2 linked regions of the Schizosaccharomyces pombe genome follow. The gene in region 1 interacts genetically with each later gene. Each region holds a gene or a part of one and is shown on either strand. Other genes may lie near its edges. The genes, in order: chl1 and fml1.

What was found.
Region 2: mutations in chl1 (region 1) and fml1 impair growth when combined (synthetic growth defect), as found in Schizosaccharomyces pombe (one study listed by BioGRID).

What each region holds. Positions count from the first base shown.
Region 1 is NC_003424.3:5,396,950-5,403,134, reverse strand, and holds chl1 (ATP-dependent DNA helicase Chl1), read right to left. Parts: upstream 4,391-6,185; 5' UTR 4,022-4,390; coding exon 3,383-4,021; intron 3,318-3,382; coding exon 3,125-3,317; intron 3,066-3,124; coding exon 1,363-3,065; 3' UTR 1,032-1,362; coding exon of another isoform or gene 1,025-1,031; 3' UTR 973-1,024; coding exon of another isoform or gene 902-972; 3' UTR 725-901; downstream 1-724. Other genes in the region: rpl4101 (60S ribosomal protein L41), read left to right, coding at 902-972, 1,025-1,031; GARP complex subunit Vps51, read left to right, coding at 5,056-5,535; trehalose-phosphate synthase Tps2, read left to right, coding at 5,940-6,185. UniProt on the Schizosaccharomyces pombe protein: ATP-dependent DNA helicase important for chromosome transmission and normal cell cycle progression in G(2)/M.
Region 2 is NC_003424.3:1,465,032-1,476,804, reverse strand, and holds fml1 (ATP-dependent 3' to 5' DNA helicase), read right to left. Parts: upstream 5,972-11,773; 5' UTR 5,746-5,971; coding exon 4,297-5,745; intron 4,252-4,296; coding exon 3,422-4,251; exon of another isoform or gene 3,366-3,421; coding exon 3,140-3,365; 3' UTR 3,114-3,139; coding exon of another isoform or gene 2,920-3,113; 3' UTR 2,867-2,919; coding exon of another isoform or gene 2,700-2,866; 3' UTR 2,653-2,699; coding exon of another isoform or gene 2,593-2,652; 3' UTR 2,542-2,592; coding exon of another isoform or gene 2,464-2,541; 3' UTR 2,425-2,463; coding exon of another isoform or gene 2,401-2,424; 3' UTR 2,346-2,400; coding exon of another isoform or gene 2,266-2,345; 3' UTR 1,897-2,265; coding exon of another isoform or gene 1,756-1,896; 3' UTR 1,706-1,755; coding exon of another isoform or gene 906-1,705; 3' UTR 858-905; coding exon of another isoform or gene 698-857; 3' UTR 530-697; downstream 1-529. Other genes in the region: SPOM_SPAC9.07C (GTPase Rbg1), read left to right, coding at 698-857, 906-1,705, 1,756-1,896; SPOM_SPAC9.06C (5'-methylthioribulose-1-phosphate dehydratase), read left to right, coding at 2,266-2,345, 2,401-2,424, 2,464-2,541, 2,593-2,652, 2,700-2,866, 2,920-3,113; Tf2-1 (retrotransposable element/transposon Tf2-type), read right to left, coding at 6,957-10,958; U5 snRNP complex subunit Brr2, read left to right, coding at 11,546-11,773. UniProt on the Schizosaccharomyces pombe protein: ATP-dependent DNA helicase involved in DNA damage repair by homologous recombination and in genome maintenance. Capable of unwinding D-loops. Plays a role in limiting crossover recombination during mitotic DNA double-strand break (DSB) repair.

The sequences.
Region 1 (6,185 bases):
ATGCTTTGTGCAGTGGAGCGAGATTGCGTTAAATATTTGGGGTGGTGTTGTTTGCTTGGCAAATGCCGCAAAAGAAAAAGCCACCTCTATCTCTTACTTTAAAAAAGGTATCATTCAGTTTTTACAGATATTAAATCCATTCTGTTATACACAATTGGTATTCATATACATTGCTAGCATATCCTTTAAATTTATTGGATTATACATTTTTTACATGGTATCTTTTAGTACCAAAGGGTTAACGTTGCATTTTAAAATTTGTTTTTAATAGATGATTAAAGTAGCTCAAATTGTCAAGGAGTTTAACAGTTCGACTTAAAAACACAGTACTTGTTCCGGATGCTTTCAGTATCTTATATAGCAGTCTAATTACAATGTCTAAGAATAAATTTATACTATTCTATGGCACAAAAATGCGTTTCACCTTCCCTGTAGACTACTTACTAGACTTTAAAGAATGTTTATGATATACCTGTTCTGTATACGGTTTACAAACTAAAGTATGTAGTATGCTTGAAGTTTACACAGCGTTTGACAATAGATCGCAAGTCGTATACAACAACATCAGGTATGTTGTCATTAAAGGATAATATGAATGGATGATATAGCATTAAATGGATTATTATTAAATCTGATTTTGAAGAGCTGAACCTTTCAAAAAAGATATGCAAAAGGAAGCACTTAAAAATCACTTACTATCGTTGACGGATCATTTGAAATAAAATATGTAATTAACCACTTTTTGTATGTTTACATTTCGTTCCTTGACATACTAGAGTAATTCTGTTACTTGACTGTACTTTTGAATGTGTTACGTCCGTATTGTGTGTTCTTAAAAGAGCAGTCACAATGTGCTATACAGATGAAATATTGCCTAGTCTGCTAGTCATCCATAACCACAATGCGTGATAAGTGGAGGAAGAAACGCGTGAGACGCCTTAAACGTAAAAGAAGAAAGATGAGAGCTAGATCGTAAGTGTTGTATTATATTACTCAGACCTGCAGACTTCTAACTTTGAATTAGTAAATAAACGGATCATCTACAGCTCGATGGACTGAATTAAGCGGTCCCTAGCGTGACGCTTGGATATCATGGCAGAGGCCTCTTCCTGCTCTAAGTCGTAACTTTTCTCAAGTTGGTTTTTTTCTACCTAAACAACCTTCATTTGCGACACCATTAGTGCAGTCTTAATTGACGTTCAAAATAGATCTTGTTTTTATACCTTTGACGAGTAATGATTTGAGTAGTCGGTAAATACGAGAGAGGTGTATTTTCTAAAAATTATAGAGTAATCTATTTACAATATGCGAAGCGTAATTCTAAAATAAGCCTATGTTGACGCTGTAACGCAAACCATATGTCTAATCACACATCTTTTTAGCCCGGAAAAAAGTAGCAAGTTGCCGTATAGCAGGTCCGAAATTAGGGCTAGAATGGATGTTTTTGCTTAACCAGTTTGGTAACTTCCTTTGTATACTTGATCGATTATATCTGGAATCCAAAAGAATTATACTTGCATAATCATCTCGGTGTCGAATCGCTCGACCTATACTTTGATTTACTGCTCGCATACAGGTATTTTCATAAAATTCCTGTGAAGCTTGTTTTGCATTTATGCCTTTCTCCTTGGCCTTTTCCTCTACGTATGAGACCTTGGCTTGCCATTCCACATCTTGCGAGTTAGGGAACGGCATTCCTACCACCATTACGGCTCGGCCAAGTTTATCTGAAAAGTTGATTCCTTCTGAAAGTCTTCCTCCTATCACGCTAAACAACATTCCACTCAAGCCTGCATCTACGGACTGTTTATAGTGTTCAAAAGTATCCAAAGGATTATCGCCAAAATCTTTACTTTCAATAAATAATGGTTTTTTTGCATTTAAACGATTTGTAATTCCATTCATTTCCCATACTTTTACAGCTTGCTGCAAAAATGCAAAACTGGGAAAGAAAACCACGACGCCATCTGGGATAATGGAAATGAAGTTCTGAAAAGTCCTTCCCAAATCTTTTAATAAATTCTCATCGTCTTTTCTTTTATGTGTAAATTCAAAAGGGACGCCTGCAGGACCTTGAGAAACTAGAATGGTTGTAATATTTTCAGGAGGAACTATATGGTCACATGAAAATGGAAGTATACGAGATTGTTCATCTGAAAATAAAAGGGTTATAAAGTCATCAATCGGTGACATGGTGCCACCAGCTAAATTCACTGAACGACATTGTTCGGTCAATATCTCGACATGTTTGGATGGATCGAGTAACAAATATTTTAAATATGGATTGTCCCCCGTTTGTTTTTCGTAAAATAGTTTCCCCTCAGGAGCAGGGTTGGCGATATTCAGTAAGAAAGATTCTAATTGCATTAGGACCGGTGTGTATGGATCCTCTTCATATCCATTGCCGTTTGAAAATCTTTCACTACGAAGATCATTCAAAGACTCCAATTCTTGTGTCCCCAATGAATGCATATATTTCGTATAACCATCGACTTTTCTTGCTAGTTTTGAAACATTCAAGTATTCAGACAGATGGTGCAAGTTAATTTGATCCGCACCATTTGATACCAGTAAAGAATCGACATTGATCACTTTTGAATTCGTATTAGTTTCTAGACAATTTAAAAAAAAAGATTTTAGGTTATAGACAACTTTGATCAATTGCTTTATATGCATTCTATTATTACCATTCAGACGTTTTTCAAACCGCAGAAAATATTGTTGCAATTGAGTTTCAGCAATACAAACTTGTCTAAACGAGATGGAAGAAGAATGCATGGAACAGATTGCATCAATCAAGTTATGAGCTTCGTCAATTATACATATATTGTCTTTAAGAGTCAAATTAAGCGCATTTCGTGCTGATTCTTGTAGCAATAAAGGATAAGGTAGGGTCACAATTTGAGCTGAATCCACTGCTTCCCTCGTTCCGTAATAAGGGCAGACCTTTAAACGCTGGCCCAATTCTACGAGTTCTTCAATATCCATTATTTCAGCAAGTGCTTCATCCCGGAAGTCCCATAATTGAGTGTTGTCTTGTAAAAAGGGACACTTGTGAGCTGATCCTAAAATGTAAAAGTTAATATTAAACTGAATTTTCAATCTAGTGAAGTTGTTAAAGTACCTTGAAGCTCAATGCATTTTTCATTTAAAGCAGACGTTGGTCGAAGTTTCCGGACTTCATTATTAATACAAAGATTCTTACGAGAAGCCAAAGAAACTACTCGTATTGGCGTTGAGAAGGTTTGATTATTGAGCTTTTTAATTTCCTGAACAAGCTGTTGCAATTGAGAGTGGGTTCGAGAAGTAAAATATATCTAGCAGTAGGTTAGAAAAATATTACCACTAAATGAATATTCCTTATAAGCACCTAAATTCGTACCTTTTGAACTATAGGTGGTTTTTCATTATCGGGACTTAATTTTCGCAATAGTTCAGAGACTTTGGAACTGTAACCGTTATTAAATAAATCTTCAGATTGTTCAGAAGTCGATGGCATCGTATATTCTGCTGTAACTAGATATTCGTCCATCGGATCAACCGAAGTATTAGAATTATTACAATTGTCTGAGGTTGAGGCTTCTGCGTTTATGTTCCTCCTTTTTGTTTCCCTGTGGTATGTAGTTGAATTATTGCTCATTTGATTTTTGCGACTTTGGTTCCTCTTTCGAATTTCTTCAAGGCGCTGTTCAAGCCGTGCATGTGTTTCTTTTACTAGATCCTTTTGTATTTTCAAGTCTTGCTCTAGAACCCAATCTGGAATTTTTGAGGATGTGTTAGATTTATTGTCATTAGATTTTTCATTATCCTCAAGTAAAACACCTCCATGTTCGTCTAGCCAAGTAAGTGAAGCACAGATTAAACTCAAACTTTTTCCCGTTCCAGTTGGTGATTCAAAAATCCCAATCTTTCCATCGCTGATGGAAGAGTACAAACTGCGCATGAACTCTAGTTGGATATCGTATGGGGTATACGGGTGATGAAAATTGGTTTTAAATTTTACTTCTTTCGAATGACACATTTTAAAGGTAAAACAACCTTTTCAGAAACCTGGAAATCTTTCGTATACTATTTCGAGTTTTGATAACAGTAATTGCACATTACAGAGCCAAATGTAAGGTTCCCTTGTAAAATAGTTAATAAAGCATAAAATAACACCTTATAAACACGGGAAAGCGTATGTTTGAGCTTAGATTTTTCAGTACAACAAAAGAGAGTAGCGATGATACTAATTGAATTTACCAAATCATATGCAAGCTGGTTTCTGAAGAAGGAAGTACTGTTGCATAAACTCCATCCGTCAAACTGTCTATTTATATAACAAGAAGACTTTTCAACAAAATGTTAAAATGAACAGAAGAAACCGCTTTGCACGAGGTTAGGCAAGTTTACTGTATGTTAAAAAACTGTTTCAGTGTATACTGAAGTTAAAATATATTTGCAAATTTAAATCAAATATTCAACTACTTTTAAGGGGAGGAAACTAAATTTAAGAAAATTAAATATGCATTTCTAGTTTAACAGAAAGAATGAGATTTTGTTAAAAGTGCTAAATTCTCTTTCAACACTAAGCCTACAATTCAGTTTAGAAGAACAGCAAACGCTCAAAGGTTAAATAATATATATATGCTTGACGCTCTCTGTATTATCGAATATTATCATAACTAATGGAAATAACTATGGAAAAAGAAGCTGAAGTATGGTTATGTAATTTTCTAACGCGTGCAATCGTTAGTCTTGTTTTTGTCATCTACCAAAGAATCGCAATACCGCGAAAATGCATTTTTAAAATGCGTTGAGATTTTGCTACCAGATCAGCAATAAAAGTATCGAAACTTTTTAATCAAACTATCAATATGAAACAAAGCAATAGAATGTTTTAAAGAAATATTCGAAGCATCGATATATGATATAAAGATGTACAGGAGTACGTTATTCACTCATTTCTATCACTAGAGCATTTTCTGTCGGCAACAGTATTTTGTTCGTTGCTGGCCTTGTAGATACATTTATTTCATTATTTATTAAGCACTGTCGTTAAGTAAATTGTACAATATGTCAAGTAAACGCCGTCAAGCTTTAAGAGACTTTTATAATCTACCTGGTTCAAATAGCTCATCTTCAACTGTTTCTACAACTCGAAAACCGTCTAGCTCTAATACCGTTTCGCCAGTGGAAGAAACAGCATTAGATAAAGTTGATCCAGAGTTCTCAGATCCAAATTTCGATTCAAATGCTTACGTTTCTAAATTTATGGAGAAAGCCACACCAGCCGAATTATTGCAGCGTGATAAATCTTTGGTTGCTTCGATTCAAGGGCTTTCTGTCGACCATAGATCTTTGGTATATAATCATTATAAGCATTTGTTAGAAGCTAGTGATGCAATTAACTCTTTTTGTAAAAATTTAAATACACTTCTACCTGCATTAAACGATGCTTATCAGGCATGTCCAAAGCCTACAAGGAAAAATGGAAATAATGATACGTATTCAGCTCCCCAATCTTTTAATGGAAATGAATTTTCAGCGCCATAGTCGCAGATTTGTTCTACCATCTCAGTGTTAGCGTCTTCACATCATTTCAAAAGCTTGGGCAATGACGAACACCATCTCATTTATCAGTTATTCATAATTCATTAGTAAAAAGGTTCATTCATCATATATTCGTTATTCGCAGGGAATTTCCATTTTCATATCGGTGAATTCGGTGTCTTACTACCTCTCTCGGTCATTTGAATTTTCCGTCATTTAGGGTACACTGTCCAATGTAATATTGAGCTTATAGTACGGTCTCCTACTTTCTATACGTTTAATCATCTGCTTAAACAAGCGCAAACGACATTGATTTAAAGTTTTTTGCTAGCTTATTGTAGTGATTCATTGGTTTTATTCTCTATATTTCTCGTCACTTCTCCTCGGTGAAGTTAAGTGCTCTAGAAATGCCTTCAGGCGCGCAAGGAAATACTCAATCAGCTGCTTATAAACGTATTGTTAATGTCTCTCGAAATTTTCAATTTAAAGCAGCCTTAAATAAAGATACTCGCGAATGGACGTTTCAGCATCGTAGTAGTGGCACTGCCCTTTACTCAGCAATTGCTTCATTGGGAGATCCTAGTTCACCCTGGGACGCCGTGTACGTAGCTTCTCCTGGACCTGTACAAATTTCGGAAGGAAATGACCATACA
Region 2 (11,773 bases), 3.9 Mb from region 1:
TAAAAATGTTTTTGTAGTTTCTACTATGTGTTCTTATATTTTGTATTTAGGCTATTGGGGATAATTGCTCATCCGTCTACTGTTTATACGCAACAGCCGCAGATATTTTTTATTTATTTAATTTTTAATTATTACCCTGACCCGATAATTAACCTTGTTAACTGACATTATCTTCAACCCCTGAATAATAATTCATTTGCCGTTGACTTAGAACATACTAAATTTATTTATTTCTTTTTTTATTTATCAAAAAATACTGTTAATCCAAGCTTTTGCGCAATCAGCAACTACTTTTTTGCAATCTTATTTATTTAATATTTGCATTAAAATTGTGTAAGAAAAACAAAACAAAATTATCAACTTTTTATATACATACATATTTTATATTGATCTAACGCATAAAAAAAGACACGCAAAAGAAAAAAGATTTATTTATGAAATTCTATTGAATAACTGGATTCAATATTTCACATATTTTTTTATTTACTTACAACAAGGAACAAATATCGAGATCCAACGTGATATTCTACCTGGTATCTTAATAATAGTTTGGCTGTTGTAATGTGGTTTAATACACTAATATAAAATAAAGAGGGTTGCTTAGCACTCAATAATGCAAAAGATCTTATACGTACTTAGTTATAGAATTTTCTTTTCACCATTTTCATAGCATTTTCATATATAATAAAAAAACAAAATGGCGACTACGGCGCAAAAAATAAAAGAAGTTGAAGATGAAATGGCCAAAACCCAAAAAAATAAAGCTACGGCTAAGCACTTGGGAATGTTAAAGGCCAAGCTTGCAAAATTGAAACGTGAATTGATCACCCCTACCGGTGGAGGAGGTGGTGGAGGGCGTATGTACTGAACGTCAAATTTTTGTTTGGAGTACTAATCTTTCTTAGTTGGTTTCGATGTTGCTCGTACCGGTATTGGTACTGTAGGTTTCATTGGATTTCCCTCCGTCGGTAAAAGTACACTCATGACTCAGCTTACAGGAACGAGAAGTGAAGCCGCTGCATATGAATTTACAACTTTAACAACGGTTCCGGGTGTTTTGCAATACAATGGTGCAAAAATTCAAATTTTGGATTTGCCTGGTATTATCGAGGGTGCCAAAGATGGTCGTGGTCGTGGTAAACAAGTTATTACTGTTGCACGTACTTGCAACCTTATATTTATTGTTTTGGATGTATTGAAACCAATGTCTCATAAGCGTATTATTGAAGAGGAATTGGAAGGATTTGGTATAAGATTAAATAAGGAACCCCCCAACATTGTATTCAAAAAGAAAGAACGTGGTGGTATCAATATCACCAATACTGTCCCCTTGACTCATATTGATTTGGACGAAATTCGTGCTGTTTGCAGCGAATATCGTGTTAACTCTGCTGACATTGCTTTTCGTTGTGATGCCACCATTGATGATTTGATTGATGTCTTGGAAGGAAATCGCGTTTATATCCCGGCACTTTACGTGTTAAATAAAATTGATTCAATTTCTATTGAAGAACTTGATTTGATTGATCGTATTCCTAACGCCGTACCCATTTGTGGTAACAGGGGTTGGAACATTGACGAACTTAAAGAAACGATGTGGGACTATTTGAATTTGGTTAGAGTCTATACACGCCCTAGAGGTCTTGAACCTGATTACAGCGAACCTGTTATCCTTCGTACTGGCCATTCTACTGTCGAGGATTTTGTAAGTTTTCGAATTGCTTCTGCCGATCTTCGTGTTGCTAACTTCTTTAGTGTAACAATATTCATTCAAGTATCAAATCCCAGTTTAAACATGCTTATGTTTGGGGAAAAAGCGTTCCTTATCCTGGCATGCGTGTTGGTTTATCTCATGTACTGTTGGATGAGGATGTAGTGACGATTGTCAAAAAATAAGTCTTTTTTCCTAACATCTTACTTTCCTTGGTTTCCCAGTATTGGAATATATAGGCCTGAAAACTTATTTAACTGGTTACTCTAATAGGTGGGTTACAATGACTTAAAATTTTAGATGGTAATTTATTTCGTTATTTGTTCAAATTGTTTTTTCTTTAAAGTAAAAGTTTTCGTGTATTATAAGCTTAATGAATGATTGTGTAGAGTGTTTTGTGACATATGTCTTCCTTCAATTACTTTTTAATATCAAATTTGCAAACGCAACTTATGAAACGCTACTCACTTTGCTGAAAGAACCGATCATTAAATAAATCATTTCTGAGTATAGTACGGGAACTTTTAAAGGTTAAAGTTGAAAATTTTAGAAGAATGAGTCTCCAATTAGAGAAAAATTTGATTCTTGAACTTATTCCTCATTTTTACAGTCTTGGATGGATGAAATTTGGCAGGTAGCGTTCAAGACGTTTAATGTTCAGTAATTTTTTAAAGCTAATTGGTATTTAGTGGAAACTTTTGTCTAAAGAACAAGTAATTGTACGGTATTCAAACGATTTTGTTAACATTTAGTGGTTATGCAATTTGCGTTAAGGACAGGGTTCAAAGAGACTTCATAACGGAAAACGATATCGTGACCTTTAATTTAAGGTAAATTATTCATTTGGATCAGCTCCAATTAGTATCTAACCTTTTATACAGCAATCAGTCAGTCACCAAGGATTTAGTCAATTGGGCCTACATTTTCTCATGGGTTTTGAGGTATGCATCATTTTTTCTATTTACAGCAATTTTTAACACATCAAAAGTAATATGGATGCAGTAGCCTGTATATATTCTACTTCAGTCGCTGCAGTCGGAGCATCGATGTATAATGAGAAATTTACTACACAATCTAAGGAAATGATCAAAGGAATTCCAAAGGGAAATCCTTCAGCAGGCTATCTTTGCTGTTTTGATACTCTAGAGGTTCCTAGTAAGTTGTGTTTTCTGTTGGTGTTGACTGGTATCTGAATACTGATTATGTAGTTATCCACAATGGCGATAGTAAAACAATATTAGATGAACTAAAAAAAGTCATCGAGCTTTATCCACAAACATGTGCTGTTCTTATTCGTGGACATGGGGTTATCGGTTGGGGAGCAACATGGGAAAAATCAAAAACTCAAATGGAATGCTACGAATATCTTTTTGAGTTAGACTACAAATTGAAAACGTTGTAGGCTATTTCTAAACACTATTTAATTCTCTAAATCAGCATTCCTTTCATACGTTTCCTTTTCTCTACGAGTTGCTGAAGGCGTTGTTGTCGGTCGTCAAATGGTTTTGTCTTGGATGCTTCTTCATTCCTTGAAGATATAGAAATATTTACATCCGGGAGGTCTTCCTCTAAATTATTGTTGTTGTCATAAAACAGTGTAGACTTGTCGTAAGAAAATGAATTATGTTGTCCTTTCCTTTTCAAAGTTGTCATCCTGTATGTTAATAATCTGTAATTATCGTTAAACAACTCAATAGTTTAAACACTTACGGATTTGGGTGTAAAGGTTGTCTAAAGTCATGCATCTTTGGCTGTTTTGTGTCACGATCCGTCGAGTTGATATTTGATACTTGGAATTGGTTGTTTATTTCTCTTCTCCACTCCTGAGCCTTTTGCGAATCTATAGTATTTAAATGCTTTAAAAATGAATGTATACTTTTCGTAGCTAGAGAATGCGGTATCCGTCCTGTAACACTCAATTGAGATAACCTCCTATTTCTATGAATATCCAAACCTCTTAAGCAAACACGCTTATATTTTTCCAGTTTCTTTTCTTGTTCAATGCTATATGTAACGGGACATATCTCGAACGGTGATTCTTCAGACTTGGCTAAAGCACGTTTCGGTTTACCTAAAGCGGACGCAGTAATAAATCCATTCAAGGCATTTTCTGGCATGAAAAATTTCTTTTTTATTTTCGTTCTCAATTGCACTTTCTTTGGAGCTACTACAACTTCTTCATTTTCTTTGGGAATTTCTATGACTCGTTTATCACAAACCGGGCGAAACTTTTCTGGTAAAATTCTATAACTTTTTTCCGATAGGCTGAGACCGCGACCACTGACAATATTATCTTGCAAAGTTCGATAAGCGTCTTTGGCTCTCTCCCATTTTGCTTCTTCTTTGCCTCGCGTCAAAAGCATATAAATATAACCTTTCCTTTTTCTCCCAGTTCTGCCCATTCTTTGTAACATCCTTATAGGAGAAGCAGATGCATCGTAACATATGATCATGTCTACTTCACCTATGTCCAAACCCTCTTCTCCAATAGAGGTAGCTATTAAAGTATTGACTTCACCTTTTTGAAATTGTTTCACAGTCTAGAGATTAGTTAGTTAAGGATCCATCATTTTCAGATTACATACTTCATTCTGTAATTTTTGAGACATTCCAGCAGCCTTTCTCACAGCAGATTGTCCAATAAAAATAGCTGGTCTCACATTTGGATAAAATTTACCCAAAAATCGTAAAATCTCTTCGGCGCTAGAGCGGATTTCAACAAAAATCATAATTCTGGTATCCTTGGTTTGTTCTTTTTCAAAATATTCTGTAACAATACGTTCCAAATGCTCTAGTTTGGGATGTCCGACAAAAGACTGATCTCGCAACAAAATTTCTATATCGTCCATTAAAGGACGATAATTTTCGTGATTTATTATGCGTTTCTTATAACCTGATCTTCCTACAAAGCATTCTTCTTCTACCTCTCGCAATTTTTGATAAAACGGTCGGATACCATGGTTGAGTAACAAATTTAAAGGATAGGCAAAAGTCGCTAATGCATCAAAAGTATTTAAAATATCCCATTTTTGATTAGCAGGAAAGTTTTGACCAGACATTGCAAGAAAAGCTTGTTTAGCTTGAACCACAGTGAAAGAAGTTATGTCTTTAGCATTCTGAATTCGATAATAATTACCCTTGTTCAATTTTTGAAGCATAGGTTCCAATATAGAAGAAAATCGATCTCTTATATCTGTAATCTCTGCAGACAAATCTACAGGAAAAAAATCCACCTCTTTCTTCTGAACGTATTGCGATATATCAATGCTGTTTTCAGTTCTAATCTCAATCCTGGATATATGAAGAGAATCAATTACATTCTGAATTGCTTCTAACTTATTTCCGGGGGTAGCACTAAGAGCCAGTATACGGAAATTTTTGTTGCTAAGAGAAAGTAGATGAACAACTTCCACATAAGCGTAATTTCCAGTACTACGATGTGCTTCATCAATTACTAAACAAGATATACGAGTCCGATCGCAAATTCCATGCTTGATGTCGTTTAAAATGGTTTGAGGAGTTACGAAGAAAACATTTCGACTTTGATAATACTGATTTCGAGTTGTAACAGGAACGTGTCCACTTAATTCAGCAGTTTGACTCTTTGGAATTCCAGTGATTTTATAGCAAGCTTCCATTTGTTGTGTAACCAATGGTTTAGTAGGAGCCATGAAAACAATGTAACTTTTTGGAAACCAACGAAGATAATTCATCATCACAACGGCTGCAATAAATGTTTTACCTAAACCTGTTGGCAAAGCTACAAGTACATTTTCAAATAAAGCTTTTTGGACAATATTAAACTGATAATCTCGAAAGGAGACGTTTATAGGGTATACCCATTGCTGTGCTGCACTTTCATCTAACTCGTGTTGTAGACGATATCTATTGGAATCGTTGGCATCAAAATATTCATCAACTGAGTATCCATTTAAACCTATCGTGTTATTATGATATTCATTCTCAATTTTATCAACTACTTGGGTGTCCAATTCGTCCCAGTCTTCATCACTACTAAAAGAATCATCGGACATCCTTATCAATGATTTATATTGTTAGCAAAAATTTAGCTGGAATTACTTAAAAACGAATTTTGCTAAGGTACTTCGTTTCGTCAGTCGTCAAATACAACAATTCCATAAGACATTCACTGCAAAGCGTCCTTTATTGTCGGAAGTAATTGTAAAGGACAAGTTTTTTCCCTCAAATGGTTTAAGATACAATTAACTTCATGAGAAAGTAATGAAGTTAATTATGTTTAAAATTACATTGCCAATGTGTATATTCCATGTCTTTTCAGTAACGATTTGTTATAACGAATTATTGCGCGGGTGTAGTATTGTATTAGGGAAGCACCTAATAACCGATATAGAATTCGTATATCATCATAATGGTTTTTGTATATATTCACTATAAGTCGCTCTCTATACGATAAACAAATAACAAGCATAGCCGAACAAATCCTATCAGAAAGACATGTAATGGCTCTTAGATTAAAGAAAATGATTAGCTAGATGAAGTAAAACGAGTTGAAAAGTGTCCGTACATAGACTAATGTTGCTAGAATTCAGGACTTTCTGATGTTTGTACCTTCAAAATTGGACTTTGTTTGTGGTAACATATCACACATCAAGTGAGTAAAAAAACACTCATTTATCGAATAATAGCCATAATCTTTAATCTATCACATAATTTGAAATTTCCTCTTCGAAGAGTTCCTTTGGAAATTCCATAAAGCCATTTAACGTATTTTAAATTTACTGATTCACTAAGTATAAATTAAAGAATTTAAGCACTGCATTAAGTGAAATAGTGATTTTGTTCAAAGGTCATACTTCTATGAAATTGTAAGCTACGCAGTTTGGTATCTGATTTAAGGATACGTAGAACTGCGGTGAGTTTTCCTTGTGATCTATTATATTACAATACACAGGTTGTATAAGTAGCAACTGAGTATAGGTATTGTATTAACTGGGTTATAATGTTACCTATCACTAATATAGCTCATAACTGAACTGAGGAACGAGGTTCAGCAGTAGCTCTATTTATAGTATTCAGATAATATTGATCTTAATAGATTATCATTAAGATCAATCTCCATATCGTATCATACATGGTACGATATATAATTAGAACATGTGACATATAGTGATACTCAACGTAGTGTATTATAGCGTAGTGTAGTATTGCTGACATTGCCCTCCCCAAGATTTTCTATGTAAATCTGAGGATAAGTCATATGTTCTCAGATATTTAGATTATTGTTTTTAATATAATCATTGACAATTGCTTTGTCCGCTTGTAGCGCTGTAGCTAATGTAGTCCATCCTGACATAATAGTACTCGGATTTAGATTCGAAATGTACTTGACATTTAAGTAGAGTACTTGTTCTCTGTTTTTATGTTCTAGGATATGAAGAATTGTTCCAATATCAGACTCATCAATGGTAGCGTAATTGAGTTCTGAATTATGTCGATACTTTTCTAGGTGAGAAACATGAAAAGTAGATGAAAACATGTGCTTGATTGAATCTGGAAGATCCAATTCATAGTTGTTTGGACCCGACTTCTGTAACACATAGAACGGTCCTGCAAAACTAGGTGCTAATTTATTGGATTTATGAAGAAAACCTGTTTTCGTTCTTTTGACCATAACTAGGTCTCCAGGTTGAAATTCTTCAATTTCTTGTATTTTCATATCGAAATACTTTTTCATCTTTATGTTGTTTGTATTCAAGTGTTCTTTAACTGTTTGAAATACTTGGATCGTTTCCTGAGAGTTTTCGTCAGTTTTGTCACTAAAGCTAGGTAACTCTAAAGGTGATAAAGCTGGTGAATAGCGATGTACTATCTCAAAAGGTGTCATTTGAGTTGCTGAATGTATCGCATTGTTGTAAGATTGTTGCACTAGGGATATATGATCTACCCATGTATTTGGATGTGTGCTACATACACATCTTAGTAATTTCTCCACAGTTTGGTTTGTACGCTCAGTTTGTCCATCAGTTTGTGGTCTGTATGGTAACGAAAATTTCATAACGAAATTATATTTATGTGCGAAATCTTTCCACGTTTGGGAAGTAAAAATATGATCATTATCTGCAATGATTTCTTTTGGATTGCCGAAATAAGCAATAACTCGTTGATCAAACATTCGAGCTGTTTGCTCTGCTGTAATGGATTTCGTACAAGGTACTAAGATTGCCATTTTTGAAAATCGGTCAACTACCACGAAAAGTGCATTATAACCAGATGATTCTGGTAAAGCTGTAATAAAATCCATTGATAAAGATTCCCAAGGTCTTTCTGATGGGGGAATTGGTTGTAAAGGTCCATAAGGTTTATGATTCCTAGATTTGTTTATTTGACATGTATGGCAGTTCTGTACATATTCTTGTATTTGTTTTCTTATTCCTTTCCACGTAAATCTACGTAATATAATGTTTGTAAGAAGTTCAATGCCTGGATGAATCAATTTACCTTCTTCATGATACTTTTTAATAATTGTCCTAGTCAGCTGAGTATCATTAGGTAATAAGATTTGGTCTTTACTGTTAATTAGTAAGCCATCTTTGAGTTGGATATTCTCTTCCACTCGTTTGTCTTCATTGTTTAGTAAATTCAACAATTTTGTATCATTCGTATATTCTGTAACCACTTGGTTTTTAAAATCATCGGTTATCGAGATTTGATTAACAAAGTTGATACTATTGTCTTCTGAATCTTTTGGAATTGGTTCTGTTTCGTCAACAATTCTGGATAAGGCATCAGCTATGTGATTTGCTGATCCAGGTCTGTAGTTAATTTCAAAGTTGAAGTCTTGTAAAAATAATTGCCAACGAGCTAAACGTTTGTTTTCAGGCTCGGATTCGTTAGTAATGCGACCAATTAAGTTTCGATGGTCTGTTAAAATTTTGAAAGGTTCGATAGTGGATTCTAAATAGTGTCTCCAATGTTTGAGAGACTTAATGATTGCAAGCATTTCTTTGTCCGATACGCTATAATTTAATTGTGCTTTAGACATCTTTGCTGAATAGTATCCAACAGGATAGTATTTATCATCATCATGTTTTTGAGACAATACGGCTCCTACAGCGACATCTGAAGCATCAGTTTCCAGTAGAATCTTTTTACTGAAATCAAAGTGTCGTAGCACCGGAGGAGAAACTAAACATTGTTTAATGTTTTCTATCGCTTGGGTTTGTGTTGGTGTCCATTTCCAGCGTACATCCTTTTTCAAAAGATTATTGAGTGGATGTGTTAATTGTGATGTCTTTGGAATGAATTTCCTAAGATAATTGACAGAACCTAGAAATTGTCGTAATTCTTTACGATTCTTAGGTTGCTTCCATTGTAAGACTTTGTCTATATTTTCTTGACAAGGCGTAAATCCTTTTTCCGAAATGTGATACCCTATAAATTTTACTTGTGATTGGTGAAATTCACATTTTGCTTGATTGATAATTAAGTTCGCATTTTTCAATTTCTGTAGAACGTCTTTAACATGTTTTACATGTTCAGATTCCGATTTTGAATGAATTAAAATATCATCCATATAACATACTACATGTGATTCTTTGGCTTCACCAAGTATTGTATTGATAAAGTATTGAAAATGTGCTGGAGCTGTAGATATGCCATAAGGCATTACTAGATATTCAAAAACTCCACGAGGACAGCGAAAAGCAAGTTTATGTTCATCTCCTTTTCTTACTCGTATCAAGTGATAGGCACTTTTGAGGTCAAGTTTAGTAAAAATTGTAGAACCTTGTATTTTAGCAAGTAATTGTTCAATAAGTGGTAACGGATATATATTGGGTTTGACATACTTATTTAAAGGTTTGTAGTCAACCACCATTCTCAAGGTGCCTTCCTTTTTCGGAACGAACATTACTGGACAGGCGTTAATGGCTTTAGATTCTCGTATAATTCCACTTTTTAATCCTTGATTAATTTCATCATTCATAGCTTGCATTTTTCCCGGTGGTAGCGGGTAATTTCTGATAGGTAATCTGTAGTTTTCTTGAGTTAGTTCAACTTCAAATTCTAACCCTTTTATTGGCTTTGGTAGCTTTTCCGTATTGGTTTCTGCAGTAATGTCTTTGAATTCTTTATAGATATCTGGTAACTCAGGTTCCTTGACAATATTTGAAACTTTGTTCATTTGAGAGAGCGTGTGTTTACTGCTAGATATTTCAATGTTATTGTCATATAATGTTGTGAAGGAGATAGCAGCTGGATGCGAAAATTTCTTTACAACCAAGAATTCTGTTTTGATTGATATTCCATTTAGACTTATGTTAAGTTTTATTGTTTTGCGATTAATCTTATTTGGATAAACTCCACCATATATCACACTTTTTGACCAGGGTCTGGTAGGCAGTTTATGTGCTCGAACAGTTTCTTCTGTTATAATATTTGCTTGAGCGCCCGTATCGATTAGACAGGGTATTGAGCACTTGAAGTCTGGAAGTTCAGCTTGTAATACCATTTCGTAACGTTTCCTAGTATGATTTAGGAATTTGTTAGATGAGTATTCTATTCTCGAAACATTTGTCTTCCTCAGGTTTCTGCTATTAGTGGTGTTATTTTTCTTTGAAAGGGACTCTTTTCCTAGATTTTTATTTTGCAGTTGAAAACGCTTGTGAGTTTTACCATACGAGGCTGTTCTTTTGTCCTCTAAAAAGTCATAAATTTCACTGATTTCTGATTTCCAGTAATTTCTTTCCTTTAATTTCCTTAAGGAATATGGCAGCATCCATAATATAAACAAGCGAGTATGGAAATCATCAACATTTGCTTTTGACATGAGTTTCCTTATAAATTGAACTTTGTCCAATTGATTTCTAAAACCTTCAAATGTTTTAGTTAAACGATCACCTTTGTTGGATCCTTGTACTTTCCCTGTTTGTCTGAGTAATTCTTGCCATGTAAGACTTCCATTCTCAGAAAACATGCGTTCAGCGAATTGTTGCTCTAATTCTTCTAGGTGATTCAATGTATACTGTCTTTTAGTATGCTCATTTGGGAATAATGAAGGGTATTCAGTAAAGTGTTGATCAAGTTTTGAAATGTAACTTTCAACATCCTTATTAGGATCGAATTTCCCTATCTCTGGTACATGCTTCGATAATATTTTTGCAAAAAGGTTTATTAAATGTTCGTCTGATGTTTGAATTCCATCCAAATTCTCTGGTCTCCATCGTTTTGCTCTTGCTTTCATATAACGATAATTTGCGTAGGACATTGTATATGTTTCCCTTTGGGAGATTTCAAAAGGGATAACAGTCCTTCCAAAGTTCTTTCTCCTTTGAACCCAGAAGGAGAGAAATATATATATTTATGATATATATTTATTCAATAATTCCTTTTTCCTAAAAGGAGTTAATTGTAGATCACAAGAGTTCAGTTATTGTAAGCTACGCAGTTTGGTATCTGATTTAAGGATACGTAGAACTGCGGTGAGCTTTCCTTGTGATCTATTATATTACAATACACAGGTTGTATAAGTAGCAACTGAGTATAGGTATTGTATTAACTGGGTTATAATGTTACCTATCACTAATATAGCTCATAACTGAACTGAGGAACGAGGTTCAGCAGTAGCTCTATTTATAGTATTCAGATAATATTGATCTTAATAGATTATCATTAAGATCAATCTCCATATCGTATCATACATGGTACGATATATAATTAGAACATGTGACATATAGTGATACTCAACGTAGTGTATTATAGCGTAGTGTAGTATTGCTGACAGAAATGAACACTTCTAATACCTCGAAGTAGACGAAAATTGAAAATTCAGTTTATCCTCCGCCACTCACAATCATGTCGAGTGCACATCCTAAAGGGGACTCGAAAGAGCCTCCCAAACATGGAAATAGTAAGGAGAAGCCAAACTATGGTCAATCACAGTATAGTTATTCTGCAATGTCAAATTTGGTTACGCAGGCTGATCGAAGATTTGTGTCACGACGTGATGCTGAACCTACAGGCGAACCGGAATCTCTGGTAAATCGAGTTAGTATTGCAGATATGGGTTCTAGAGCGAGAATT